Canis lupus familiaris: one gene and its partners. The protein of the gene in region 1 purifies or fractionates together with the protein of each later gene. This does not show direct contact. Links are inferred from orthologs where the notes say so. Each region holds a gene or a part of one and is shown in the gene's direction. Other genes may lie near its edges.

What was found.
Region 2: the proteins of MED21 (region 1) and MED12L purify together in Homo sapiens (affinity purification with mass spectrometry; 3 studies listed by BioGRID and IntAct, counting the BioPlex papers as one, with this or other methods). This does not show direct contact. The link is inferred for Canis lupus familiaris from reciprocal best matches to the Homo sapiens genes MED21 and MED12L.
Region 3: the proteins of MED21 (region 1) and POLR2M purify together in Homo sapiens (affinity purification with mass spectrometry; 3 studies listed by BioGRID and IntAct, with this or other methods). This does not show direct contact. The link is inferred for Canis lupus familiaris from reciprocal best matches to the Homo sapiens genes MED21 and POLR2M.
Region 4: the proteins of MED21 (region 1) and CDK19 purify together in Homo sapiens (affinity purification with mass spectrometry; 6 studies listed by BioGRID and IntAct, counting the BioPlex papers as one, with this or other methods). This does not show direct contact. The link is inferred for Canis lupus familiaris from reciprocal best matches to the Homo sapiens genes MED21 and CDK19.
Region 5: the proteins of MED21 (region 1) and RPAP2 purify together in Homo sapiens (affinity purification with mass spectrometry; 3 studies listed by BioGRID and IntAct, with this or other methods). This does not show direct contact. The link is inferred for Canis lupus familiaris from reciprocal best matches to the Homo sapiens genes MED21 and RPAP2.
Region 6: the proteins of MED21 (region 1) and POLR2D purify together in Homo sapiens (affinity purification with mass spectrometry; 4 studies listed by BioGRID and IntAct, with this or other methods). This does not show direct contact. The link is inferred for Canis lupus familiaris from reciprocal best matches to the Homo sapiens genes MED21 and POLR2D.
Region 7: the proteins of MED21 (region 1) and MED9 purify together in Homo sapiens (co-immunoprecipitation; 8 studies listed by BioGRID and IntAct, counting the BioPlex papers as one, with this or other methods). This does not show direct contact. The link is inferred for Canis lupus familiaris from reciprocal best matches to the Homo sapiens genes MED21 and MED9.

The regions. Positions count from the first base shown.
Region 1 is NC_049248.1:25,934,853-25,939,172, forward strand, and holds the end of MED21 (mediator of RNA polymerase II transcription subunit 21), read left to right. Parts: intron 1-1,559; coding exon 1,560-1,674; intron 1,675-2,197; coding exon 2,198-2,298; intron 2,299-3,502; coding exon 3,503-3,679; 3' UTR 3,680-3,694; downstream 3,695-4,320. UniProt on the Homo sapiens protein: Component of the Mediator complex, a coactivator involved in the regulated transcription of nearly all RNA polymerase II-dependent genes.
Region 2 is NC_049244.1:46,482,262-46,486,016, forward strand, and holds part of MED12L (mediator of RNA polymerase II transcription subunit 12-like protein), read left to right. Parts: intron 1-134; coding exon 135-255; intron 256-617; coding exon 618-719; intron 720-1,454; coding exon 1,455-1,568; intron 1,569-3,755. UniProt on the Homo sapiens protein: May be a component of the Mediator complex, a coactivator involved in the regulated transcription of nearly all RNA polymerase II-dependent genes.
Region 3 is NC_049251.1:23,190,249-23,194,003, forward strand, and holds part of POLR2M (protein GRINL1A), read left to right. Parts: intron 1-1,071; coding exon 1,072-1,215; 3' UTR 1,216-3,755.
Region 4 is NC_049233.1:67,739,048-67,743,500, reverse strand, and holds the start of CDK19 (cyclin-dependent kinase 19), read left to right. Parts: upstream 1-1,620; 5' UTR 1,621-1,804; coding exon 1,805-1,932; intron 1,933-2,400; exon of another isoform or gene 2,401-2,569; intron 2,570-4,453.
Region 5 is NC_049227.1:57,113,139-57,116,893, reverse strand, and holds part of RPAP2 (putative RNA polymerase II subunit B1 CTD phosphatase RPAP2), read left to right. Parts: intron 1-1,108; coding exon 1,109-2,045; intron 2,046-3,755.
Region 6 is NC_049240.1:24,109,163-24,113,693, forward strand, and holds the start of POLR2D (DNA-directed RNA polymerase II subunit RPB4), read left to right. Parts: upstream 1-1,722; 5' UTR 1,723-1,803; coding exon 1,804-1,876; intron 1,877-4,531. UniProt on the Homo sapiens protein: Core component of RNA polymerase II (Pol II), a DNA-dependent RNA polymerase which synthesizes mRNA precursors and many functional non-coding RNAs using the four ribonucleoside triphosphates as substrates.
Region 7 is NC_049226.1:42,192,078-42,196,510, reverse strand, and holds the start of MED9 (mediator of RNA polymerase II transcription subunit 9), read left to right. Parts: upstream 1-1,627; 5' UTR 1,628-1,696; coding exon 1,697-1,923; intron 1,924-4,433.

The DNA.
Region 1 (4,320 bases):
TACCTGAGCTGAAACCAGGAGTTGGACAATTAACCAACTATACCACCCAGATGCCCCTGAGCTCAGAATTTTTAAGCAGGGTAAAATAAGTAGTGAACTAGAAAACTAGAAGGAGACTATTGTAACAATTCTGTTGTGAGATAATTGAACTCCTGCTGTTCCAATGATAGAATGAAAAGAAAATAGAACTATTTGAAGATGAAAGGAGATTAAGAGTCTGAAGTTAGACTGGTTTATAACTAGGAGATTCTCAATAAGATTAGATATTAAAGGAAACAGTTGACTTTGAGTTCAGTCATTTAAAAAATGGCAGAGAAACTTAGTGGAAATAGTTACAGATTGGAAATAAGTGAGATTCAAAAGGTCAGGACTATTGAGGGAAGCTAGTGGGGAGGATAGGAGTTTTAACTTTGCCAACTGTAAGGAACTGGTATTCTCTTGTCTTCAAAACTGTTTAAGGAATACTGTTAGAGCACTGGGAGTTTACAGCTTGAGTCACAGAGGAAAACATTTCCAAGTACTTAAGGTAGAGGGTTTTTTTTTTTTTTTTAATTGACAGAACATTAGTTTCAGGTGTACAACATAATGGTTCACTATTTGCATATATTGTGAAGTCACAATAAATCTAGTTAACATGTCACTGTACTGTAGTTATAAAGTTCATTTTTTTTCTTTTGATGAGAACTTCTAAGATAACTCTCTTAGCAATTTTAAAATATACAAACAGTATTAACCATAGTCACCATATTGTATGTTATATCCCCATGACTTAAGGGGATAGGAAGGTTGTACTTTTTTGACTCCCTTCACCCTTTTTGCCCACCATAAGCCCCACCTCACCTCTGATAACCAGGAGTCTTTGTATGTGAGCTCAGTTTTTGTTTAGATTACACATATAAGTGAAATCATGTAATATTTGTCTTTCCCTGACTTATTTCATTTAGCATAATGCCCGCAAGGTCTATTCTTGTTGCAATGGCAAGATTTCCCCCGTTTTTCTTTAATGGCTGAATGATGTGCCTGTGTGTGTGTACCACAGTTTCTTTTTTCATTCATGCATCATGGCCTTATAATTTCTTCAGGTGGAGTCTTTTCCCCACTATTTTTTTATAGTTGTAACTACTTTAGTCTCAAAAAAGGGATCAAATACTTTGTATATAAATTACATATTTTAAAATTTATCCTAAGGCCATACTTACATATTTGCCAGTAGATTTGCTTTCTTCCACCGCTACCCCCCAAAAATCCCTACTTCTGCTTGTAACAAGTGTTGGCATTTATTTCTCTTATCATTCTGTTACCTTGGGAAGAAAACAAAGATTATCTTGTATTTCCTGTTAACTGTTTCAACTATGTTGATACCAAACCTAGTTTCCTTGCGTGATTAAACATTTAATCATTGTTAATAATAACTAGCTAATTTTATCCCAGATTCTTCCTGTTTTATTCCCTTGCTTAGATATTGTTATTATAGAAACTTATTTTTGTTGCTGTTACTGGTAAAATCCTTAAAACTGATCAGTCCTTTCTAACTCTGACACATTTTCTTTGGCTTCAAGCTTGCAGATCAGTTTTGTAATGCCATTGGAGTGTTGCAGCAGTGTGGTCCTCCTGCTTCTTTCAGTAATATTCAGACAGCAATTAACAAAGATCAGCCAGCTAATCCTACAGAAGGTAAATAGATTTTCTTGGCTTCTCTTCATTTGACCTTTATAATCTTTATAATCTTTTAATATTAAATTTATTGAGAAATACAGCTTACTTATGATTTGAGAATATTACTGTAAGTTTTGTTATAAAAGATGATTTCATTAGATATTCTACATTTCGTAATTCTGTTCATGACAAAAAGCAGATTGTTATTCCTTTACAGCTGACTTTACATGAATTTAGCAGAATTTCACTTGAGGGGCCTTAATAAGGAAGGCATTCCATTTACATATTCTTTTATTCAAATGACTGACATACTGTCCTAAAAAAATGAAATAATTATGTTTAGTTCCCAATTTGAGTTAATAGTAAGGCTACTTCTCAAACATGTGATAGGGTTGGTGTGTTAGAATTACATTTTAATCATTCAAAGCATAGTACAGAAAAAGTTTATGACCTTCTCTGGTTTCATTAGGTTCAAATTTAATTTCTACTTCTGAAAACTTGACATTTCCTAATACTCTAAATGAGTAATATCTTTCTTTAGAATATGCCCAGCTTTTTGCAGCACTAATTGCACGAACAGCAAAGGACATTGATGTTTTGATAGATTCATTACCCAGTGAAGAATCTACAGCTGCTTTACAGGTAAAAATCTCTTTTCCTTTGAGAAATTTGCTAGTAGAGTATTTTGATTAAAGGAGGTGTTTTTTTTTTTTTTTTTTTTAAGATTTTATTTATTTATTCATGAGAGTGTGTAACACTGAGAGAAAGAGAGGCAGAGACACAGGCAGAGAAGAAGCAGGCTCCTTGGAGGGAGTCCGACGTGGGACTTGATCCCCAGTCTCCAGGGTCATGCCCTGGGCTGAAGGTGGCACTAAACCACTGATCCACCCAGGCTGCCCAGGAGATTTTTTTTTTTTAAGTTATCTCTACACTGAACCCATGAGGGCTTGAACTCATGACCCCAAGATCCAAGAATCACAACACTCCTCTGACTGAGCCAGTCATTGCCCCAAAGATTTAATACCTTTTGTTACAATATTCAAAGTTTCCTTAAGATTAAGTTTCATTTATTTATTTTTGAAAGATTTTATTTTTAAGTAATCTCTACATCCAACATGGGGACCGAAGTCACAACCCTGAGATCAAGAGTCACGTGCTCCACTGACTGAGCCAGCCAGGCACCCCAAGATTAAGTTTTAAAATGGAAGTTTTCTTAATTGTAAACTACTGTAGTCTATTAAAGATCATGCTGAATATATATGGTTGTCCAATTTCGAGCTATAAGGAAACTTCTTAGTCTTCTCAGTTTGGCTCTTTTCCTAGCAAAGAATGAGAGGAGAGTGGCATTCTGGGTGTGTAGAATAGTAGTGTCCAAAAGCAGTGTCACATCTAGAGTGTCACATCTAGACAGAGATCTCTAATTGAAAATTCATTCTTTTAAGTAATTCATACAGGGAAAGCTCCTTAAAAGTTACCTGATTTTAGAGTTTCTTTCTTTTTTTTTTTTTTTAAAGATTTATTTATTTATTTATTCATGAGAGACAGAGAGAGAGAGAGGCAGAGACATAGGCAGAGGGAGAAGCAGGCTCCATGTAGGAAGCCCGATGTGGGACTCGATCCCTGGACTCCAGGATCACGCCCTGATCCAAAGACATATGCTCAACTGCTGAGCCACCCAGGCGTCCCCTGATTTTAGAATTTCTGACACTGAAAAATCTATCATAATGGTTGCAGAATCATCCAGATTTAAAAATAAATACTTCTGCAGTTTTTTTTCTTCTCAACTCTTAACTAATCTCCAAGTTTTTCATTTCTCAAAAGATTTTTAAATTTGTGTCTTACAAAGGCTGCTAGCTTGTATAAGCTGGAAGAAGAAAACCACGAAGCTGCTACATGTCTGGAGGATGTTGTTTACCGAGGGGACATGCTTCTGGAAAAGATACAAAGTGCACTTGCTGATATTGCACAGTCACAACTGAAGACAAGGAGTGGTACCCATAGCCAGTCTCTTCCAGACTCATAGTACCGGTATCTACCATGTGGGTGAGAAAAGAACTATTTCAGTGCCATTAAGAGTTCTGCATCAAATTTAGATGTAAGCCTTACCAACAGTTACAGAAACATTAAGCACTATGACACATGTTACCTTTTTAGCTATTTTTTAATAGTCTTCTATTTTCACTCTTGATAAATAAGCCTCTAAAATTGCGATTGAACCAGTTTTAAACCATCATATCATTTTTTTATTATTGGAATGAAATTATTGAGGCAGATATTGCATTAATGGTTATATTATTATTAAACAGATGTACTTTAAAATTCTGTTGTGACATTTCTATTTTTATTTTTATCAAATTTCTACAGTCTTTTTTGCAAATCAAATATCCCTCAAGCCAAAGGAGAAATGGTAAATGTAGAGATATGAGACATTTCAATATAGGTTGATATCCTTCTGCCTCTTCAGAGGTGACATTATATAAATTTGGAGTTTGAGCAAGGAAGGTTTCTGAAACCATATTGCTTTTAAGAAACTTAGGGTTAGTGTAGTTCGGTGAGAGATTAGATCACTTTTATGGAAACATTCCTCTTTTTCCAGAACCTCATACCCATTTTGTTTCATCTCCCATGTGTTTCTACTGAGAAAAGCCTCAGGAGACAGAACAA
Region 2 (3,755 bases), on another chromosome or scaffold:
TTCTCATTTCACTCTATTGGTTCATTTTGGGATTTTAGATCTTACTGGTATTGCCTACATTCACTTAGATATTAATCTTGGATGTTACTTGAAAGGGTGTTAGGTATTAAAACGTGTCAATGTTTTTCTTGAAGGTGAGTGACCTTTCATTCCATGATTCATTAGCTACTTTCATTGCTATTCTGATAGCACGACAGTGTTTCTCCCTGGAGGACGTCGTGCAGCACGTCGCGCTTCCTTCTCTCCTAGCAGCAGGTACGGCACATCCAGAATGGCCCTTGTGATTTGATGGTTGTCTGGGGGTGGTTTCTAGCTAGTACAACAATAAACATACTGTTTCAGGGTCCATGCATCAGCCAGTGGTGTGACGTTGAGGTAAAGGTCTGAGAATGGTCAGTGTAGTTCTATACAAAGTCAAATGGATCCCTATGGAAAAGGTGGTTTTTACGGAAGCACTCTGGTTTCTCGAAAAAGCAGAAAAAGCATAGTGTAGTTCCTTAACTTCTTAAAGTAAGGAGCATTTACATTTAAATTAGTCCAGATAAGTTAGCTTAATGGGAAACCTGAAGACCTATCCTTGAATAAATTAGAAAACTTGCTCTTAAAATCTTTCCTAGCTTGTGGAGATGCAGATGCTGAGCCTGGGGCGAGAATGACATGCCGACTCCTGCTTCATCTCTTCCGAGCTCCCCAGGCCTGCTTATTACCTCAAGCAACCGGTGAGCTGACAGCTGAAAAACCTCTGATTACGTTTTCATTTGGAGGTAGAGATTCTAAAATGACCAAGTAGGCTGTCCATTTTGTCATTTCCTTCCTGATTTGGGTTGAGCTTGCTTTTGCAGGTGAGGAAGGAATGCAGTAATGCCCCTGAGAGGGCCGTCAGCACCTTTGATTTATGCAATATCAGGATGTATTGAGAAACTCAAATCAGGAGTTAATAAACAATAAAAATACTTTTGCTCTTAGGCCGAGCCATGCTGGTGGGCAGCTTGATCCTCTCATCTACTATGTATGTTGGTTATGAACCACATCATAGCAGCTTAGGGCAGGGATGATTCATTTATTCTTTTACTAAGGTAAAAGGAAGACGGTAAGAGGTCTAGGAGTGTTAGTGGAGTGTGTTTCCAAAGGTCATTTCCATACAGGGGTATGTGTGTGTGTGTGTGTGTGTGTGTGTGTGTGAGAACCAACGTACGTAGATGAAAGTCCTTATTGTTTTGATCCGTCTCTCTAGGGAGCAAAGACATTGTTTTAATAATTAAAAAAGAGAATTTTAAGAAAGGAATACTGACAGCGTTTCTTAGTGAATCCTTGAAGCATCGATTAAAGCTAGCTGATGGCAGTTAAGGACACACAGTCTAAGAGTGAAAGACTCTGCTGATTGTAAATGGTTAGGAAAGATTGTTAGGGACGGTCATGAGACCATTCAAAGTTTGCTGTTGTTCTCCTCCTAGGCAAACCTTTCCCTGGAATAAGATCATCTTGTGATAGACACCTCTTAGCCGCTGCTCACAACAGCATTGAAGTGGGAGCCGTGTTTGCTGTTTTAAAAGCGATTATGATGCTTGGTAAGACTATCCTGGCACTAAACGTGGTTAATCACCAGAAACAGAGGAAAAATAATTTATATTCAGGATCAACTCTAATTCATATTATTAGCAACATGGTTTGGTTTGATTTGGTTTGGTTCTCCTGGCAAAATTAGTTGGCTTTCTCCAAGTACAAGATCAGCTGGACTTGAATTGTCTGCTCCTTACCTACAGTTCTCAGGGAATTTAAATATAATAGTTTTTATTTTTGGATGACATTTTAACTACAGGATATTTTGTTTGATATAATAGAGATCTCAGACCCACAGGTTGGTTTTATCTTTATTTGTTGGCATAAGTCACATTTTATGAAGGACACAAATGCCACGGTGATCTAACCAAAGGTTGAACTGTTTTATTATATATCAGGAGTAGAACACCAGAAAACCTGGATTTTAATCTTAATGTCTCTGCTCCTATTGTGACCCTGAACAACTATATAAACTTCTACTTTAGCTTTTTCATAAATCAGGTAATAATTGCAATAATGTCAGTATTATTGGCAAATCAACGTTAGATGTCAGGATTTTAAAAAGTTTAATCCATAATTTCCGAGATGTCCATCATACTCTTGATGGCATATCCGTTCCTGGGGTAGCAGTACTGCATTTTCTGTTCATTTATAGTATAATACTTTAAGACATTTTTATTCTATAAATTGTTCAGGATTTGAATGAGTAGTAAGTCTTAAGTCCACACTGCCTAATTCCAACTGTGGCAACCCTCTTTTGGCCTTGACTTAACAAAAGTCTTATGTTCTGAAGGAGCTCTCTTTGATTAGAACAGAAAGTAGATAGGCATCATTTTAGAGGAGTCCTAAAGAGCATTATAATTTGTACTCCTGTTTGAATGTTATTTGGTGATGATGAAGCATAACAGGATTTCCATTTAAAAATTATTTTTAAAAGTTCACGTTAAAAAGAAAAGTTCACCTTAAGAGAATATATATATATATACATATACATATTTACGTATGGTTTGTAATTTTTTCAGTAGTTTAAAGGTTGGAGAAAACATAATTATATATGCATTATATATATCTCAGATGCCCTTGGAAATGCCTAAAATATTCTTGCAGTAATAGAGAAAGGGCCACGTGGAGGGCCGTGCCTCATTTCTGAGTTTAGGAGCTTACAGTATTAAACAAACAACATTAAATGCTCTTTTCAGTAAGTAAAATTTCTCTCCTCTGATCATGTTTGAAAAGAAAATGGCTGGTCAGTCTACTTAAATAAATGTAGGGACCATGAAGTTAGGGACTTGCTTTTTATTTTATTTTATTTTTTCAAACTGTGGTATCTCTAATGCCCATCAGAGAAACTAGACAGGTTTTGAAATAGTAGCTTTTCAACAAGCTAATGTTTGGAGTGCGACTGCAGAGGGGATAGACACTGAATGGCAGAAAGCACGATGAGGGCCGTCGAGGCCCTTGCCCCTTCATTTGGAGGACTGGTCCAGTTTTAACTAAAATTTGCCAACCTCTTTAAGGAGTCACAGAATTGTATTTTAATATCCATGTGTAATAACCTTTCATCTTTGATTGGCTTTCCTTGACTTTTTTTTTTTTTTTTTTTTTTTTTAATTCATCTCAGTTCTTGTTAGATTGAGAATGTTAGGTCTGAGAAGTCACGATCAGGTCATTGGATGTCAGTAGAGCCTTGGACTAGGTAGTCACAGAACACTTCTCTATTCTGTTACTTGCACAGTTATAGAAGTTTCTGGCACAGTCTCCTATACCTTCTCTGTCATCCTAACATCTATACTAAATGAGAATCTGAATGAGGATTTCCTAGGCAGAGGGGTTTGTTTCTCTGATTTTGTTTTTACAGAAGTTTTAATTTCTCTACTTCACCCTGTCCTTACCAGTGTTCTCTCAACTCATGTCCACCAGGATCTATTTTGAATTTGGGAGATAAAACTGTTATATAGGAGTCGGTTTTTAATTTATGCAGTAGTTTAACATAAGGTGTAGATATAGTTGAATGAGTAGTACTATGTATCCCCAAAATTGGGGAAAGCGTGCTAAATTTTGGGACGTATCTTTCAGCTCCCAGCGAGCTCTGTTGAATTAAATAAACTCGTGGGTGAAAAATTGGTACTTTTTCTATTGTACATTTTAATGAGGAACGTTTGATAATATATAATAAGATATTGATACTTGAAAAG
Region 3 (3,755 bases), on another chromosome or scaffold:
GGAAAATAGCCTAACTTCCTGGCATTGCTTTGCTAGATCTTAATCAGGCACTAGGCACTATTCAAGACAAAATGAGGCTGTTTTTCAGCCTTGACTTTTTACAAAAATTCATTTGGCATGGATTGGCATTTTCAAGGCATTCCTTTTTAGCCATTTTTCTTCCTCACGTATTAGAGTATTATTGCCTACTTACAACTACACCCTTGGGGAATTGTTTTCTAAATTGTTTATATGATCTTAAGTGCCTGTCCAATTTAGCTTGAATTTGGTTCCTTTGAAACTGGTTTCCTTGGCAGAGTGGTAATAGCTCCCATTTCAGTTCTGCCTACCCAGAATATTCATGGCCTGAGAGGAAGGACGGGGAGAGGGTCAAGTTGTAGGGGCAGAAGCAGGAGAAAAGTGAAGAGCCAGATTAAAAATTGCGCTGCCCCTGCCATCAGTCAGAGGTTGTGCCCTTGGGTGTCTTATGAGCACGTTGCCTGCATCTGAAATTTATGTGGCTTTGTGTTGCATAGTAACTTTCATGGGAACTTAATTTGGAGAGGGGATAGTTAGCTTTTTAGAAGTACTGGTTTCTTGATTTTTTTTTTTCATTGTGCAACTGAAATGTAAATCTCAAGCCTAAAAGCCATGATTTCATCTAGGAAAGAAGATTCTTTGTTGGAGAATCAGGACAGCATTAGTGATTTTTGGCATTTGATAGTTCAAACTGCTGTGTGAGTGTGTATGTACACATGCATGTATCCACATACTTAAAAATCTTTTCATATTTGCAACTGTTGCAGCATTTAGCCTGTTACTCAGTTTGCCGTGGAGAAGTGGGGTAATCAGTGCACCACTGTCTGTCTGAGTGGAAATCTGACCATAGCGGTGGTGGGCTAGTAGCTCTCACCAGCATTGCCCCCCTGTATCTGCAGTAGGCACAACCTCAAACTTGCACACTGCTAGAGAGCACTGAGGGGAGTGGTATGCCCCTTTATTTCCAGTGTTCTTTAAGTGACTCCCTGTTGGAAAAATGGTAGGGAAAAAGATGTGAATGTGTGACTTTTTGCTTTGATTTTTGTTTTAAAGGAGATGCAAGCCAAACTCGCGGCACAAAAATTAGCTGAAAGACTGAATATTAAGATGCAGAGCTATAATCCAGAAGGGGAGACTTCGAGGAAGTATCGAGAAGTAAGGGATGAAGATGATCGGTCCTCTGATGATGAATTCTGAAGATGAGCAGTGGAATCATCACCTTAATGTCTGCCTGTTGAGATATCATGATCTTACATCAGACTTTTTACCAAGTATCAAGATCAGAGTCACATTGTTGAGGGGAGGAGTTTTACAAAGTTACACAAAGGTAGCTATAAAAATAGCCCAGTGTGTCTTTCAGAAGATGACTTTCATGTGCTTAGAAAGTTTAAAATTTGAATATTATGTTTAATCATATTGTATTAAAGTTTTGCAGTATGTTGTGTGTTGGTCTGATATTTTAGTACATAGTAAGCACAGTATTTTTTTCCTCTAAGCCAAATGAGGCAGGTAACTGCTCTTCCTTATTCTTATCTCAGTGGAATAGCATTTATTACATGTCTTTCAGTGAAATATTTGGTTGCCCCAGGCATCAGCTAAAATGAATTAGGAAGATAAAGTTCCCTCCTCTTTTGAGTAATGAAGGGAGCAGTCTAGAGAATTTTGTGCATGTTTGCATGGGGTTATTGAGGTATTGGACACATGTGAAGTACCTAGGAAGACACTCCTAGGAAATTCTTAAATATTTGTCTCCTTCCGTCTTCCCTTAGGAAGGATGCTATCTTTCTTCTGATTAGGAATAAGGAGTACTTTTAGTGATGCTGGAGCTTGGATGATCTTTAGATGATCAGATTTGCCTGGAGTAACACGAGTTGGAGGGAAAGTCTAGGGTGACTGTTGTAGGTGAAGGGAGTAGCTATTCTTAGGCTTGACCTGACTTGAGGTGATTACTCTCAGAGCTGACAGGTTCATTTTGGTAAGGAAACCATTTTTTTTTTTAAAGCTACAATTGGATTGTCAATATATTGCCCCCCTCCCCCATCCAAAGAGGCATATTTAGGCTACAGAAATCTCAATCTCTTATGTATTTGTGTTTATGTAATTTTAAAGGATTATGTAGTTGTTATAAGACTTCTTTGTTTAATATGTTGGAGACTTCAAACAGTGTTGAAAGGAAGAATAAAATATTAGAGCAACTTACAATGTTAATGGTGGTATTTTACTGGTGCTTAATTAAATTTATCTTGCTTTAAAAGAGACTTTCATATATGAAATTTTCCTGCAAACACATTTAGGAGTGAGAAGAAGAGCTCAGTTCTCTAGCATGAACTTCCAGGAGCAGCTACAGCTTTCTATGCCCCTGCCACCCCAGCTCCCCCACCCCCCCAATGTAAAGATATACTGAGCTAACAAATTAATTATTTGTACTTTTAAAAACTAATAGTAAATGTATTTCACAACATAAAATTATTCCTTAGAGGATAAAAGGATACATTCTGAAAAGCCAAGTAATATGGAAGGGCTCAAATGCATGTACACATGGTCCCTTGTAGTCGGATCACCCAGAGAACACTTCTATTAAGGTTTGGGTATATGTACTTCACGTATTTTTTGTTTCTATTTTCAATAATGCAATCATACTATATATATTGTTTCATAGCCTGCTCTATGTGTCCTAAACATTTTCCCATAATAGATAATTTGCATTTTAGATAGCTACAGAATATTCAATTTAATGGGTCTGCCAGAACTTTTAAAATCAACTTATTGTTTAATAATGTTAGTTACAGTGTAAACTGTAAACAATGTGATTAACATCTTAAAGTCACGTTTGTCCAAAAAATTATTTCTGGAAGATAGCCTTCTAGAAGTGAAATCGCTAGTTGGAAGTATATAAGTTTTTGAGATTCTCGATAGACCTCACCCACCACAAAGATGGAGTCCCTTTAAATTCCTCCTAGCAATACTGAACTCCCAGAACTGAAAATTGATATTCAAAGTGTTTGCAAATCAGTTACAAGAAAGGATTATTTTTTAAATTTATATTTCTTTGATTGCTTAATGAAGGATGGTTTTTCATGTTTATTGACCACTTAATGGTCATTCTTTTGAGCGTTGCTTATTCATATTTTAACTATTTTCTTGGAAAGTGCTGTTTTTATTGGTCTATAAATTCTTGATGAATTAAGATGTCCGGCTTTTGTCATATGTTCTTATTTTAGTGTGTTACTTTCTTTTTAATACAGTTTGTGGTGTTTCGGTGTAGAAGTTTTCTTTAGAAGACTACTTTTGTTATGCCTGAGCATGCCTTCCCTACTCCCAAGATGGATATGTATTCATCCTTATTTTCTTCTACTACTTTTTAAAAAATTCCATTTTATACTTCCATTTAATTCAAAAGGAAATTTTTAATCCATCTCAAATTTATTTGAAGATGTTGTAAGATTTAATTTTTGCAGATAGTTGACCAATTGGTTCAATATTTTTTTTGGGGGGGTTCAGTATTTTAAGCCATTTCCTCACTGATTTGTAATGCTATCATTGTAGAATATTAAATTCCCATGTGTCTTGTGGTATGGGCCTATTTCTGTGCCTTGCAGTTTTTCCTGCACTATTTTAATAATTACAGATTTAATCAGCATTAATATTTGGTATACAATTTCTCCAAATTCTGTCAACTATAACCTCCAGAAAAGTACACAAAACAGGTGTGCAGTTTAATGGGTAAAACAAACAGC
Region 4 (4,453 bases), on another chromosome or scaffold:
TGCCCTTCACATAAGGTTCTTTAAATTTTGGCTCAAACTGACCTCCCTGTGAAGCCTGGCCTGACCCCCCAGAAGTCTTCCTAGTCTATCATTGCTCTTTGTACCCACACCATTTATTTTTAATTTGCTTGCGTGTTTATTTCTCCAATAGGTTTTAGCTCCCCTGATGGAAAAAGACCAGTTTTCATCTGGTATCTCCAGCACTCACCCTGGTTCCTGGACATAAGAGAAACTAAGATTTTCAGATACGTTTGATTGACTTCAAGATCTGAGAAAGTTCCTTAAGAAATTTACTCTTGTAGTAAATCAATGATCTCCATCCCCCACTCCCAAGTTTTCCAGGTTTCTTCCCAAACCTAGCAGGTGGGCGGGGGGGGGGGGGGGAGGTGTCACTACTAACTTTCCTTACCACTTTAGATAAAGGGGACCAATTCTTCCTTTGTGCTCCCACTAAATGTGGTATATTATTCTTATCCTAGCACCAATCACGCATAAAATCGTATCCCAAGCATCCTAAGGACGCAGGAATTAAATGAATCCATATTCACCTTGATTAAGGACACTTTCTCAGACATCCTTGGAGAACGTCACCATTATGCACAGACCTTAAAAAAAAAAAAAAAACAAACATCTTTTACAATGCAAACCTGATGCCTGCTTTTAAGACGATGCATCCTCCTGGCACTTGAATTGTCCTTAGACAGATGGCCCAAAGCTTGGCTGTGGGAACCGCATATGGTGGGAGGAGACCATGACTCGAGCGCCAGGAAAAGGATGATTGGCTGCCGGGCCTCAGAAGTTCTCCGCAGACCGACGCCAGCCCTAGGAAACCGCTGAGGGTTCAGCTTTTGAAATACGGTTTTTGCATCGTAAAGAAAAAAGATGGACCTATCAGAACAACCGAGCACACCCAATTACCAATCAAGAGCGGGAAAGGAGCCAAAGCCCGGGGATACCCACGCACCGACGAGGACGTCATTCTCTAGTCTCAGCCAATGAGCGGCGGAGGGGGGCGGGGCAACGAGCGGACCAATCGCCACGAAAAACAAACCGTCTTGCAGCACAACTGCTCTAACCACAGTCCTCGCCTCTCTAACCGCCGGCGCAAACTCCTGAGCCGAGCACTTGTTACGTACTTTCCACTCTCCCTCTCGCCCGGGGGCAGTGATAGTGGAGTACCTTCCTCTACACCACAACAAGGGCCTTTTTTCCACCCGCTCCCCCACAGACTCGCAGAAAGAATTCGGCAACTTGAAGCTTCCCACCTTCACAGGAACTGGCAGTCCGGCGCTACCTGAGGGGGAGGGGCGGCCGCAGTGCGCAGGCGTGCCCGCCTCGCGGGGCGGGGCTGTGGCGGCCCAAAGCAGCCTGGGTGTTGTATTTCTTCTGCTGGCGAAACTCGGTTGCTGTTGGGGCCCTCCGGAACTACATTTCCCAGGAGCCCCCGCGACCTCGGGGTGGGCGGGATGGTTCGTTAATGAGCTCGAGGAAGCCGCGGCGCGGCCCACCAGGTTCCAAAACAAGGAAATGAAGGGGGGAGGCGGGACTGGGGCTGCCTGCGGGAGCCGCCGCCGCCGCCGCCGCCGAGGAGGAGGAGGAGGAGGTGGTGGTGGAGGAGGAGGTGGCTGCCGCGGCCGCCGAGGAGTCCCTTGCTGAAGGCGGACCGCGGGGCGGCGGGCGGCGCGCGCGCGCCCGAGAGGCGGCTGTTGGAGAAGTGGAGCGGCGGGCGCGGGGGGAGGAGGAGGAGGAGGGACTGAGCGGCGGCGGCCCCCGCGTCCCGGTGCCTCTATGGGGAAAGCAGACAATGGATTATGATTTCAAGGCGAAGCTGGCGGCGGAGCGGGAGCGGGTGGAGGATTTGTTTGAGTACGAAGGGTGCAAAGTGGGACGCGGCACCTACGGGCACGTCTACAAGGCGAGGCGGAAAGATGGGTAAGAGCAGGGGCGGGGGGAGCGGGCTCGCCCGGGTCCTCGCCCTGCCCGCGACCGCGCGGGGCGGCTGGGTCGGAGCCGGGGCGGGCCGCTCCCGGGGGGCGAGGCGGCGGGGGGCGCGGGGCCGCGCGTCCCGGCGCGGACTGGGGGGCGCGGGCGCTGCCCCCCCACCCTCCACCCTGCACCCTCCGCCCCGCGCGGCCCCGTCGCGCCCCGCGGACTCCCGCGGCGCAGCCCGGTCGGGGGGCGGCGGTCCCGTCCCCGAGGGCGCCCCCCGCGCGCCCCGGGCTGGCGGCGGGGACTCGAGGGGGCACCTCCGCGGAGGTGGAGTTGGCGGGGTCTGCTCTCGGGGGCGGGCGGGGGGCACGCGGGGCGCCGGGAGAGCTTCGTCGAGGAGTTGCCGCTCCGGCCCTGGGCCGGTGACGGTCGTGGCGGAACTTCCAATCGGCTGAGCGCCTCCCCGGGGGCGGCGGTTTGAAACCCAGCCGGGGAGCCGGCGGCGCGGCCGAGCGCTGGGGGCCCGGGCAGCCTCCCGGCTCTGGGCGCAGCCCCTGTCTACACCCGCCGACTTCGGGATCCATCCTCCCCCCGCCGATTCCGCCTTTGCACCTTGTGAATTCCGCGCCTCCCCTCCGAGGTGGGACCTCCCGGGAGACCCGCCGCGCTTTACCGGCGGAACTTCGCCTAGTTCCCTAACTCGTCCCCCCACCCCCCACCCCCCGCGACCTTGGGCATCCTGAGGTCCTCCGCACCCCGACCTGGGGCATCCTGAGGTCCTCCGCACCCCGACCTGGGGCATCCTGAGGTCCTCCCCACCCGGACCTGGGGCATCCTGAGGTCCTCCGCACCCCGACCTGGGGCATCTTGAGGTCCTCCGCACCCCGACCTGGGGCATCCTGAGGTCCTCCCCACCCGGACCTGGGGCATCCTGAGGTCCTCCGCACCCCGACCTGGGGCATCTTGAGGTCCTCCGCACCCCGACCTGGGGGCATCCTGAGGTCCTCCAGACCCGCACCTGGGGCATCCTGAGGTCCTCCACACCCCAATCTGGGGCATCCTGAGGTCCTCCCCTGCGCCCCCCTGGCCGAATGACTGCGCGCTGGGGGCTCCCGAGCACCTGGATGGGCCAGGACGGAAGGCGGGCCTGGATCTCTTGTTCTCCCGGGGAGTTGAGGGCGACCCGTGGTAACACCTCTTAGAAGCGTCCATGGATCGCCGTCTTAGGAGAAGGCGAGCTGGAGAAAGTATTGACAGCGCCTGTCCTTGGTCCTGTAGGGTAGCCGTGCGCGGGCTGCAGGGCCGGAGGCACCAGCTCCCCGCGGCGAGGAGGGTCGGGGTGAACCCTTGGCCTCCCCTCCGCCCACCCTGGCGGGGATCCTCCTCCCCCGGAGCCGGGAGCCCGGGGACGTCTCTCGAGCCCTCCCGCCTAGGTTCCCAAGGCTGTCAGAAACCACTCGGGGGAGAGAGTTTGTAGGCTCGTAACGGGACATCCCTGAGTGAAGGGAGGATCGGCCGCGGCGACGTTAGTGGGACTGGCGGCGCTGCGTCGCGTCCTGCGCACCTGCCTGTTGCCATCGCTGCAGCTGGTGTGGGGGGGCCAGGGCGGAGCAGGCGGGGCCGCGCGCCGGTGCCCGGGGAGCCCGCGGAGCCCGACCCTACACGCCGTTTCGCCCTAGAGCGTCGTGGCCTCACGAGGTGCTGCACACGTGCGGAGAGAGGATTGTGAGCCGCGTTTAGCTTTTGCCTTCTGAACTGGACGAGCCCCATGGCGTTCAGTTGTAGCTTAACTCATGGTTCTTGCAGTTACTTGCCAGGTGTCGTCCTTGAATTAATATCTTGGACTGTGAGGCACTATAATTAACTTGTATTTTGCTTCTGGAATATTAGCTCTGCTTGTTCTCCTGGTGTCCCTGTAAGGAATCTTAGCAGATATACTTGGGGAAGAGCACATCTAGTTTTCCTGGTTGGACACTGGCATTACAAAACAAATCCCACCTTGTGTGTTTTTCATACTCCTCGTGCTTACGTTGTGATACACTTGATCTGGAATTTCTAAGATGTATTTTCATTTTTGTTGTTAAAAATAGCTTCCTTTCAGTAGGTAACTTGTGAGAAAAATTGAGGATTCTGCTTTTGAATTGTATTTTTTGATAGCATGGGCCACAACCAAAAAACAGCTAAATTTAATTCCTGCTTCTCATTGTTCTTTTTTTTTTTTTAATATTTTTCCCCTCTAATAAAGTTCTTGATTCGACTACACTTTTCTTCTTGAGTGAAATTTGTTTGAGCAGAATTAATAAAGTTTCTCGAATAGAATAAGATCAGTTTGTGTATCTTCAAAATACGCTTTTTAAAGAAACTTTTAGGATCTGAAAGCATTAGTTGATATCACTGTATTGGTTATAAGAAAAGTCATTATAAAGGTAGGTTTTCTTGGGTCAAAGGTCTAGTTGAGATTTGAGGTTTTACAGTAAACACATCTCTTGTGGGTTGGTAGGATTAGTTTTATGTTCCGTGATAC
Region 5 (3,755 bases), on another chromosome or scaffold:
TAGTCATTTAAAAAATAAATAGCCCTTTTAGGGAACAATTTTAGGTTTACAGAAAAATTCCCTGAAAAGTAGAAAGTTTCAGTATACCCTCTCACCATCCTCTGCCCCAATTTGACCCAGAATCGTTGTCCTAATCTTTTAAAGTTTTGATATGTGCATTTGCTTGAAAGTAGCTGCTCACCTATCATTGAATATCTCAAGTTTGTATAGACAGAGCTACTTTTTTTCCTTGACTCTTTCACAATTCTTAATCTATTTTAAGCCTAATTGAAAATTGAAGGAACATAGTCAAAGGGATACTGTTTTTTTATTGTTAGCATTCTGTTCTAACTCTGGGTTTTCAAATATATCTTTCATAAATAAATGTTAAATTGTCAACTCTATTTTCTGCTGGGACTTTTGGGTTTTTTATTCTAATCTATGGAATAGTCTGTATTGGAAAATTCTTTTTCCAATTTTTATCATGTTATCTTCTGAAACCTAAGCAGAGTTTCTATAATATGTTTTTTTTTTTTTGACAAAGCAAGAGTGAAGTGTTCAAAAGAAAACCTTTTTTTTGTTTAAACAAAAAAGAATACATAAAATAGTCACAAATACAACAGGCAGAAATCAAATTACTAGAATGAAATTACCAAGCCTTTTTTTCCTTTTTGCTATACTCTTAACACTTTTCTTTTATTATTAAAAATTTTATTTATTTATTCGTGAGAGCCACAGAAAGAGAGAGAGACAGAGACAGGCAGAGGGAGAAGCAGGCTCCATGCAGGGAGCCCGATGTGGGACTCGATCCCAGAACTCCAGGATCACGCTCTGGGCCAAAGGCAGATGCTCAACCACTGAGCCACCCACGCGTCCCACACTTTTTAAGTAATGGGGAAAAAGACGAAGATGGTACAATTAGATCAAATAAGATGTAGAGAAATCATAGATTTATAGCAGTCTTTGGAAATGTGTGGATATGTGTGTGTGTGTGTGTGTGTGTGTGTGTATACATGCCTGTAAGGCTTTGCCTAGGGAGTACAAATTTTTACCTTGAGAGTTACAATATATAAATGCCATGGGACATTTGCTTTTCCATTATAGTTATTTTGTTTCTTTTTTTCTACAGTGGCCATTCTGGAAAGGAAGTACAGCTATGCACTAAGGCCATTAAAACATCAGATATTGACAATCCTGGCCATTTTGAGAAGCATTATGAATCTGGTTCTTCCAGCTCTCATAGTGATAATAGCAGTGATAATGAACAAGACTTTGTTTCCTCCATTCTACCAGGAAACAGACCAACTGCAACGGGTATAAGTCCACAGCTGCACAAAAAAAGCATAATGAAAAAGAAAGCTGGTCAGAAAGCTAACTCCAAACATGAAGACAAAGAAGAGACGGTAATAGATGTCACTGAGCAGCTAGGCAAGTGCAGATTAGATAGTCATGGGAAGGCTGCTGCTTGTGAACTTCCTTTACAGAAAGTAAGTCCTCAGATTTCTTCAAATAGTCCTTTGCAAGAAAAATTAGAAGCTACAGAAAATTCTGAAAATAAATACAGTAGTTCAAAAATAACTCTAGTAGGCATAAGTAAGAAAAGTGCTGAGCATTTTAAGAGAAAATTTGCCAAATCAAAGCAAGATTCTAGGCCAGCCTCTAGTTCAGTGCAGATGTGTCCTGAAGTTGCAAAGGCAAACTTACTTAAAGTCCTGAAGGAGACTTTGATTGAGTGGAAGACAGAAGAAACTTTGAGGTTTTTGTATGGCCAGAATTATGCTGCTTTGTGTCTGAAACTTTCTTCAGCCCCTCTGGTTAAAGAAGAAGAACTTGATGAAGATGACATACACTCTGACCTAGATAGGCATTTCCCTGCCTTTCAGGAATCTCAGAACAGCTTGGATGAGTCTTTACCTTTTAGGGCCTCAGATACAGCCATTAAACCACTGCCAAGTTATGAGAACTTGAAAAAAGAAACTGAAACATTAAATCTGAGGATAAGGGAGTTTTATAGAGGACGATATGTTTTGAGTGAAGAAACCATCAAATCACAAGACTCAGAAGAGGTATGTCTAAAGATAATAAGTTTTCTGTGCTGCTAGCATATGGGACACTCACCACAGCAAATCTTGAAAGGGGAATAATATTGAAGAGATAATTGTTAAATTTTCAGAAGATTGGTTTAGTTCAGTTTTTTGGTTTAAAATGCCATCCCCGGGCAGCCCTGGTGGCCCAGCAGTTTAATGCCGCCTTCAGCCCAGAATGTGATCCTGGAGATCTGGGATCGAGTCCCACGTCAGGTTCCCTGCATGGAGCCTGCTTCTCTCTCTACCTGTGTCTCTGCCTCTCTCTCTGTATATGTCTGTCATGAATAAATAAATAAATAAAATAAAATAAAATAAAATAAAATAAAATAAAATAAAATAGCAAGCCATCTCCAATATTGGAAAATAGTATTTTCCAAATAAGTTGAAATCTGCCCCCAGAAAATTCCACAAATATGTAGTATTTTTCTCTAATGTAGAAATAGCCTAGAATTGTGGGACAAAGTTTTCTTTAAAACCTAGTTCTTTATATAATATGCAGACTCTCTGAAAGGGTTGTTTTTTTTTCTTCCCTACCAACAAATATTCTTTGTATTCTTTCAAATTTCTGCAAGGGTATGTATCTTTGTATTTTCCAGTGAGACTATATGTAGTGGAGTAGACTTACTAGTTGAATGATAAAGTATTTATCTGGATATTTGGCAAGCATGCCCATTCAGAATAATACAAATGAAAATATAGTAAAGGAGACATATTGGGAAATAATGGACACGAAGGAGCACATCAGACCTAGATTGTAATATCTGTTCTCATTTACTAGCTGTATGAAAAGTTGGTCTCTTGAGTCTGAGTCTGTAAATGGGATTATAAAAATCACTTCAATTGTGTTATTAGATGGTATTCATAAGTTGTATAGTAAGCTTGGAGAAACCTTGCTCTCTAGTCACTCAGCTGCATAAAACTACATTAATATATCATTTGTTTTATCATTTTTGTGCTGTAAGCTTTAAACAGGAAAAATTATACTAGAAAGAAAATTGAGGGCAGCCCCGGTGGCGCAGTGGTTTAGCACCGCCTGCGGCCCGGGGTGTGATCCTGGAGACCCGGGATTGAGTCCTGCATTGGGCTTCCTGCATGGAGCCTGCTTCTCCCTCTGCCTGTGTCTCTGCCTCTCTCTTCACTCTCTCTGAATGAATAGATAAATAAATCTTGAAAGAAAGAAAGAGAAAGAAAGAAAGAAAAAGAAAGAAAGAAGGAAGGAAGGAAGGAGAAAGAAAATTGACTATTCCTCTTTTGCATAACATTTTTAAATGTTTTCATTGAAGTATAATGCAGATAGTAAGTGTACAACTCACTGAATTATCAAAAGGAACACAGCCTTGTAATCATTACCCAGACCAAGAAATCTGAGTACAACGAAAGCCCCACTATGTCATTCCTAATTATTACCTCTTTCCAAAATGAATAACCATTATAACAACATGGATTAGTTTTGCCAATTTTGAACTATAGTAAATTTACGTAATAGATATTCTTTGGCTTCCTGTTTATTTCACGTAACTTTATGTTCATGAGTCATTTGGGTTGTTCATGTGGCTGAAGTTCATTCTTTCATTGGTTGCATAGTATTTCATAGAAATTTGCCATAATTTATTCATATTAATGAGTATTTAGGCTTTTCCAGTTTAGGGCTGTAGTGTTATGAACTTCCTTGTCTATGTCTCTCTTCTA
Region 6 (4,531 bases), on another chromosome or scaffold:
TTTATATAAGTTCTGTATAATTACTATATTTCCTTCATTTCCCAAGAATGATATAATGAAAATGACGTTTAAGGAAACTGAAATAGGAAATTACCTTAAAGAGTAAATATTCCTCTTATGTACCTGTTAACTTCATATTACTCCTCCCCCATCTCTGTCTGATTAAATGTTAAAGAGTAGTCCCAGTGCCAGCCCCTACTCCTCTGATCTCTTGTGACTCACCTACCCGCAACCAGAAGTGACTTTCTTCTCTAGGGATCCTTCTATAGCATTTTCCTTGACTTTCTTTTGTCTTACTACTTACCACTTTCTTTCATTATGGAAAGAAGTCCAGATCTTGCATCAACTACTGTCTGGTGATCTCCTTGTAGGGACAGATTTATGACTGAGTCATCTTTTCAACCCCAGGGCTTTCAACATAAATGTTTATAATGGTTTTCTGAATGAAAATGTTGTAGACAAACCACCTCGTGAAACATTTTCTCCTTTCTTCTTCACCTGTTGACTTCTCTCCTGATGTGTGTGTGCAGGAGACCAAGTGTTGGGTGTTTCTTGAGCCACCACATGGTAGGCATTAGGTGCTCTGTAAGGGCCTGCTGGATGGACAGATGGAAGAGAGGTCTACACTGAGTTCCAGGCCCATTTCTGACGCCAAGTGGCTTCATGTCTCCAGACATGTCAGGACTTCTGTCCTGTGCCTCTAATGAACTGTGTAGGAAACCACTTGGAAACAGTCATAAGCTCTGGCTATGCTATATAATCTATTATTCTACCCAACATATTTCTACTGGAAATATACAAATTAATTTTATAAAAGTTATTATATTTATAAATCAAAGGAATACAAGCACATATTCTTCTCTGGCAACATCTTAATTCATTTTTAAAAAAGATTATTTTTTCGTAAGAGACACACACAGAGGCAGAGACACAGGCAGAGGGAGAAGCAGGTTCCCTGCGGGGAGCCCGACGCGGGACTCGATCCCGGGACCCCGGGGTCACGCCCTGAGCCAAAGGCAAGCGCTCGACCGCCGGCCACCCAGGTGCTCCGGATTGGCTTACTTTTCTACGTATCATCCAAATGTTTCAACAGATGAATTAAAGGACTGTCAGCATCACTCTCCAGCTGCTTGGAAGCATCGGAATAATCCACTACAAATAATTCTTTTAAGTTTATTTATTTTTAGTAATCTCTACACCCAAGGTGGCCCCGAGATCAAGAGTCGTACGCTCTTCCCACTGAGCCAGCCAGGCGGTCCCAAATTAATTTTTAAGATTTTATTTTTACGTGACCCTTACACTGCATGTGGAACGCGAACTAGCAACCCTGAGATCAAGAGTCACAACCACCCACTAGCCAGCCACCCTAATCAGTGGTTTAAGTGACTTAAAGCGCTGCAAGAAAGTCCCCTGTACGTTTTCAGGGCCACTAACCCTCCGTCCACAACGGGAGCTCCCGGGGTCTGAACCCCACCCACAACCTTACGACCCCTCAAGACGCAGAGGCCGAGGCTCGCCGAGGACAAGTAACCGGGCACAGCACGAGCCACGCAGGTAGCCTCGCGGGACTAGGAAGGGGCGTCCGCGCCTCCCACACCGGCCTCCTCTCCTGCCCTCCCGCCGGCCACGCCCACCCGCCCCACCGGCCACGCCCACCCGCCCCGCCGGCCACGCCCACCCGCCCCGCCGGCCACGCCCACCCGACCTCGTCGGCCACGCCCCTTCCGGGGCCGAGCCCCGCGCCCCTGCGCTTCCGGCGTGCGCGTTCGGCGGCCCGCGCGTGGACCCCGGCGCGGTGTGCCCATGGCGGCTGGAGGTAGCGATCCGCGGGCGGGCGACGTCGAGGAGGATGCCTCACAGCTCATCTTTCCCAAAGGTGGGGCTGGGGCTGCGCGGCTGCTCCCGGCTGTCCCGCGTGTTCGCCGCAGGCCTGGCGTCCCCACGGACGGGCAGGGGCAGAGAGGATGGGGATGTGGCGGGAGGGGGCCCCCGCGGGCCACGGTGCCTCGACAGGGGCCAGCGGGATTCCAGCCTCTATCCTGGAGCCGTTGGCTCCTTTTTACTCGTTTAAGTCGTTTATTGTATGTGATGAACCACCAAGTGCTGCAGAAATAGACGAGGATGAACAAAGCCCACTCTGGTTAAGGTGAGAAGGACAGACTTTAGTAAGGGGGCTGGGGCGTCTGGCCGGCTCAACCCGTACAGCATGCCAGGCTTTTTTTTTTTTTTTTTTCCTATTTTCTTTCGAGAGGGCGCGCATACAGGGTGGAGAGGCAGGGCCAGGGGACGGGGAGCTGGCGCCGGGACTGGATTTCTGGTCATGACTTGCGCCAAAGGCGGACGCTCAACCACTGAGCCACCCAGGCAGCCCTAGCTTGCTGGTCTTAAGCTCCGGGTCACGAGCTTGCGCGAGGAGCCTGCTTTAAAAAAATAAAAATGAAATTCGGGCACGATTGTAATAGGGAAAAGAGGCTAGCGTGGACTGAACTCAGTTTCTGTTTGTACGGAGGTGATTGGGCGTTTTAAAGGAGAACGAAGGAACGAAGGGGTTGCCGCGTCTCCGTAGATCAAGGAAGTGAAAAATTAAAAAACGCGGAAAGGGGGATTGGTGCATTTGAAACCCATTTGAGGGTTTATGTCATTTATGTTAACTGGCGCTTATGGAATTTAGGCTTCCGCTCTCCCACAGCTCTTCTCTGAACTCAGAGACGGGCCCTGTCTCTAGGTGTTGGCTGGGACAAGCCGTAAATTATTAACGACAGCTGTCAGTTTTCAGCTCGGTAGGCGCTTTATTTTTTTTATTGCATTTTTTTAATTTGAATTCAATCTCCCAACATATTGGTAGGCGCTTTAAAGAGTCAACCTAGGCAATTAGAAATTGTGTCAGTATTTTGTTCATGTCCTTCTGGGCCACATATGAGGCCCAAAAGCAGGGCTCAGAGGAGCCTGGCTAGAGTTTGGTCAGAAGGCTACAAGTACAGCACATTTTTGTTGTCAGTGAACTTTCTTTGTGCAGTGAGATGTACTTTATTTGTAATTTAGAAACCGAAAATAAGCAGGAAGCTTAAGATTTTAAAATACCATATTTTACAGGTACTGAAGAATGCAAGTAAATACGGGAAACCTTAACAATACCCACCTGTTTTAAAATTATTGCATACATAGGAAAAAGTGAAACTCCACACCCTTTCACCCAGAGGGAATACTGTACACAATTAGTACTTACCGTTCCAAGCTAATTTTATGTTTATGAATAAATATTTATGTACAATTTTTTCTTTGTAAAAATGAGATTATGCAAGAGGAATGCTATAGCCTTTTAAAATTTTGATGATATATTATGTAGAACTGTCCTGTTTTTTTTTGTTTTGTTTTGTTTTGTTTTGTTTTTAAAGCAGCTCTAGGCCCAATGTGGGGCTTGAGCTCACAACCCTGAGATCGGGTGTCCCATGCTCTATGGACTGAGCCAGCCAGGTGCCCCATCATGTTCTTTTAAAGGGTGAGAAATACTTAATGGTTTACCATAATACTTTTTTTTTTATCTGTTGATAGACATATAGGTTGCTTCCAATTTTTTATTTCATTGACTCAAGGTCAAATATTTCCGTAGGATAGCCTCATGAAAGTTTCTGGCATAATAAAAGTATATGTTTATTTTTTTAATGTGTGATAACTCACTGGGAGATGGTCTCTTAATATATGATAAATTAAGCCAGTTTTTTGTGCTTGGGTTTTGTCTGGGTACTTTTTATTTATTTTTTTTGCACAAAATATTTATTTTGATAAAAGGTAACATCTGGTACATGAAAATTTTGTTGAATTAGGTATAATTAGACCTTAGATTCTGTCAGTTAACAGTGTGTCAGAGTTTGGAATATCTGTTTAACTTCTCAGCTCATATGGGGATACACAGTGATTTTTATTTATTTTTATTTTTTTATTTTTATTTTTTAAAGATTTTATTTATTCATGAGAGATACAGAGAGAAGAGAGGCAGAGACACAGGCAGAGGGAGAAGCAGGCTCCATGCAGGGAGTCCGATGTGGAACTCGATCCCGGGGCTCCAGGATCATGTCCTGAGCCAAAGGCAGACGCTTAACCGCTGAGCCACCCAGGCATCCCCTACACAATGATTTTTATGTAGTTTAGACTATCTGAAGATGGGGGACTTCTGAGTTGCTCAGTGAGTTAAGCGTCTGTCTGCCTTTGGTTCAGGTCATGATCCTGGGGTCTTGGGATCTAGACACTTGTCCAGTTCTCTGCTCAATGGGGAGTCTACTGCTTCCTCTCCTCTGCCCCTCCCCCCCGCTTGTCTCTCTTTCAAATAAATAAATAAAATCTTTTAAATAAAAGGGGGGACGCCTGGGTGGCTCAGTGGTTGAGCATCTGCCTTTGACTAAGGGTGTGATCCTGGAGTCCCAGGATTGAGTCCCACATCGAGCTTCCTGCAGGGAGCCTGCTTCTCCCTCGGCCTGTGTCTCTGCCTCTCTGTGTGTCTCTCATGAATAAATAAATAAAATCTTTAAAAAAA
Region 7 (4,433 bases), on another chromosome or scaffold:
TGGGGCCAGTATCTTAATCATCATAAGCCTAGGTTTCCTCATCCAAGAAATTAAGACACTAGCATCTCTGCCTTCTAAGGCTCTTTTGTGTATTAAACGTGATAAGACTGTGACTCTTCCTTGTACCTACTTTTATTCCATGGCGGTTGTGGTAATTACTATTAATTATTGCACCATCAACATTTCCCCAGGTAGCTCAAAGGGGATAGCCTCTTCAAGCACACCTGGTCTGATCCCAACAGGCCTTTCTCCTCTAGGAAAGTTCTCTACCAGGACTCCTAAAACTCTTCCCTAAAGTGGATAAGTCCATGGGTAGCAATAAGAAAGCCCTGCAGACTCTCCTTCTCCCTGCTTTCCCCCCTGGGGGTACTCTAGGCAGTTCTTGCTGAAGAAAGCTGTGCTAAGGCCCATCACTAAAGAGCCTTTAGTGCTCCAAAGAGTTGGAGCACACTCTCCAACTCCTATTTCCTTCTACAGTCTGCCTTCCCTAGGGTCTGCCTCCATCAACCTTTCCTGATGCATCTGAAAATAGTAGCGTCAATGCTTTCCCTGGAATCAGCCCCCTTGCTCTTAAGTGCTCCAGCTCATCTTGCCACCTGAATATGGGCCTCCTTGCCTCTCTTTAAGACCCTTGATGGTAGACTTTGAAAGGTTGGGGCTTTCCTAGCTCATGTCCTCTCCCACTGACTAGCTGAGCTTAGGATGGGTGTCCCATTGCCCAGAAATCTATTATACAGCCCCCATATCACACTTGTTTTGAGAAATATAATTACATCACCACCATGTTTTTGACCTAGGATCCTGGGGACAAACCAGACCTTTGGAGGTCAGCCATGTACCTGAAGTTAGAAAACAATTTAGGCTTTGCTATGACCCTGGAGTAAGCATTTTACAGTTAAGGAAACAGACCTAGGAGCTCAAGGAACTGGCCTGCCCGTATGGAGAATACCCGAGGTGGACTTTCCTGTAGGATGCATTTATTCTTGGCACTAGTCAATCCCCTTCTGCCTTGTTTTGAAGTCAGGACAGCCTTCCTACCCACTACTTCACATTTAATACTGCATCTGCCATCCAGAAAATGCAATGTTGAATTATGAGTTCCTCCCTATCTAGGCTTGGGGAGCTTTTAGAGACTCACTTTACTTTGTCTCTGCCCCTTTGGGCTAACACAGTCTCACACTTCAGCTGGGTCAGGGTTTGCTGCCTGTCCTCCTGGAGGCATCTGCGAGGTGTAGGAGGTGTAGGCCCTCCATCTCTGGATTCTCAATGCCCGTAGGGCCCAATGCTTTACACAAAGCAGGAAGTTGTTTACTCTGCATGTGGTTCAAGGTGGTCGGGAGGCCTTCTCCGAGGGCGGGGCCCTGCGGAGTCATGCATCTCAGCTTTCCTGTACTAGTTGCTTTTGGACCCTTTTTGTCGTGTGAATAAGAATGTTATGTCTCAAATGGATCTGTTTCTGACTATTTAATAATCTAGCTGCCTCTACTTACAACCAAATCCGTCAATCGCCCGTTGCCTAGTAACATCAGCCACGCCCCCAGGATATTGCCCCGCCCACACCCTAGTACGCACGCGCACAACCTTTTTCCAGGGCCCGCCCACCGCGGGCGCAGAGCGGTGACGTCTGAGGTCCGCGACGCTTTTGAGAAGCTGACCGTTGGGGTCCTGCTGCCCGAGCGGCGCGGTTCCGAGCGCTATGGCCTCCGCCGGGGTGGCCGCCGGGCGACAGGCCGAGGATGCGTTACCGCCGCCGGCCGAGCCGTCGCTGCCCGAGACGAAGCCGCTGCCGCCTTCGCAGCCGCCGCCTCCGGTCGCCGTGCCTCAGCCGCAGCAGTCGCCGGCAACCAGGCCCCAGTCACCGGCCGGCGTGAAGGAGGAGGAGAATTACTCCTTTTTACCTTTGGTTCACAACATCATCAAATGGTAAGAGCCCAAGAGAGGACCAGCCACGACACGCCCTCCCGCTTCTCGTCTCGTGTTTCCGAGCGGCAAAGGCCTAGGTGCTCTCGGGCACAGCCCCATTTTACCGCTGGGGAAACAGAGCCAGGGGCAGGAGGCCTTTCCCACGACCACACCTGGTCACAGCGTCAGTTCGGCAAACGTTTGAACCCTGAGAGAGTTGCCAGACCTCACGATGGCCAGGCGATAGTCTTAAAAATGAAGGCTCTGCAGTCAGACGACTCAAGTTTGCATCTTAGTGACCTGGAGCAAGTCAAGCGTCTCTGAGCCTCGGTTTTCGCACCTGTAATAGAGGAGTAACACTTGGGTGTTGTCTTTTCAACACATCCAGCAGATATGGATCATCTTCCTTGTGTGGCACACTGCTAAGTCCGTGGAATGTACACAGTAAAGAGGGCCAACTTCTCCTCCCCCCTCCCCCAACATTGCTTATCAGTTTGAAGGAAAAAAAGACAGGGATGGAAATGACCCCTATTTCAGAGAGTTTGGAGGGTTGATGATAGTGAACTTAGAAGAAACAAAGATAGAAGTTGGCCCTGTAGGACTGTTCTTACATCGTGCCAAAAAGGGTGATTTTCATTTTTTTTTTTCCCAAGATTGATTTATTCATTTTAGAGAGCTTGAGCACAAGCGTTGGTGGAGCAGAGGGAGAGAGAATCTCATGCCCACTCCCTGCTGAGCAGGCAGGGCTGGATCCCTCCACCCTGAGATCATGACCTGAGCGGAAATCAAGAGTCCCACACTCAGCCAGCTGAGCTCCCCAGGCTGGCCGACTTGTCTTTCTTTTGGCCAGTCTTTAGATTATAGCCTGAATTTTCAAACTGACTCTGTAAAAGAAAAAAAGTAGTGCAGCCAAAAGGCTCCGTGATCCCCATGCTTTCCTAAATTATTTCTGCTGATACCTTATTTATATCCACATGATACAAGGGTAAACCAGGCTCATAACTTATTCAGCCATTAAAAACCAAAACAAAGTAAATGAAAGCAAAGTCACTGTTACTGTGACATTCAAGTGAGCATTAATGCGCTCTTGGGTGTCTTGCTGAAATGGACTTGCTACCTACAACATGAAAGTCTTGTTTGTTACTGGCCTAGCTTTTGAGCTTAGCCGGACTAGATTCACTTGCTGTGGGATGACCTCATGCTTCCACCCCTTTTTAAACAGCTGGAAAGCCTTTGTTCTCACATTAGACCCTGCCTTCATTTGGCTTCACTTGGTGTGAACATACCGTTTATAGGGTAAAACAGACTCTGTTCTGTTCTCATTAGCCTGTGATCATCAAGTGGCACTTCTAGGGAGCAGTGCGATGGCAAAAAAAAAAAAAAAAAAAAAAAAAAAAATCACACATGGAGACCCCCAAATCTCAGGGCAATGCTGGATTATAAGTGGGCCTTGTAATCTTATTAAAACATAACCTTTCTAGGCCTTATTTTCTTATCTCTCATACGTGAATAATAACAGTGGACCTGAAACATTTAAATTACAGCTTTATTGTGTAGGGCCTAGGTCATCTTGGTCAAATGACTTAGCTTCTCTGAGTCTCTTTGGCGAAATGGAATAACAGTACTTAAATTTTAAGATTGCTGTAAGGTATACTCAAGAGCAGCCTTCTGTGAAAGATGGCAGGTTGATCACATGTGTTTATCTCTATACTCTCTGAAAGGACAGTGAGGAGTGTTTTGTTTTTTTTTTAAGCATAAAACCAAAAAGAACAGCTGTTGTCACAAAGCAGATGGCTAAAGGCTAATCCATCTATGAGCCCTCAGAACCATCCAGACACAGCTGCCTTTGACCATGGCTTCTCCCCAAAGCTCAGGAATTGGCAGTGTCAGGGACTCCTGGAAATAGAGGTGAAAGTGAGACTAGAACAGGAGGATTACTTAAAGTCTGTGTAAGAATCAGATCCCATAGCCTTCTTCCCCACTCTAAGCAGATGGGGACTGCCCATCTTCCATCTTGGCAGACCAAGGATTACTCTCCCCCCAAAATTTATTTTTAAAAATAAGCCAGAGTGTCTCTGGACTGGGGAACACCAGGCACATGGCAGGAGTTGGAGAAAGGGAGCCATACTGAAAAGAGGGATTAAGAGAAACTTCACAAACTTAATACTGAGACCCAAACCTAGTCTTGGGTTGGCTTTTAGACTGGCAGCCAAAGAGACAGAGATACCTTCTCTGGGGTATCTCATCAGCCCAAAAGAAAGACTGGGAGCTCTCCAAGGAAGAACTTAGTTCATTTTAAGAAAGTGAAGAAGTATCACTAAGAGTTTCCACTAAGTCAGGGCACCTGGATGGCTCAGTTGGTTAAGTGTCTGACTCTTGGTTTCAGCTCAGGTCATGATCTCAGGCTTGTGAGATTGGGCTCCACAACTCAGCACGGAGTCTGCTTGGGATTTTCTCTCCCTCTCCCTCTGGCCGTGCCCTCACTCTCATTTTCTCTCAAATGAATAATAAAATCTTTAAAAAAAAAAAAA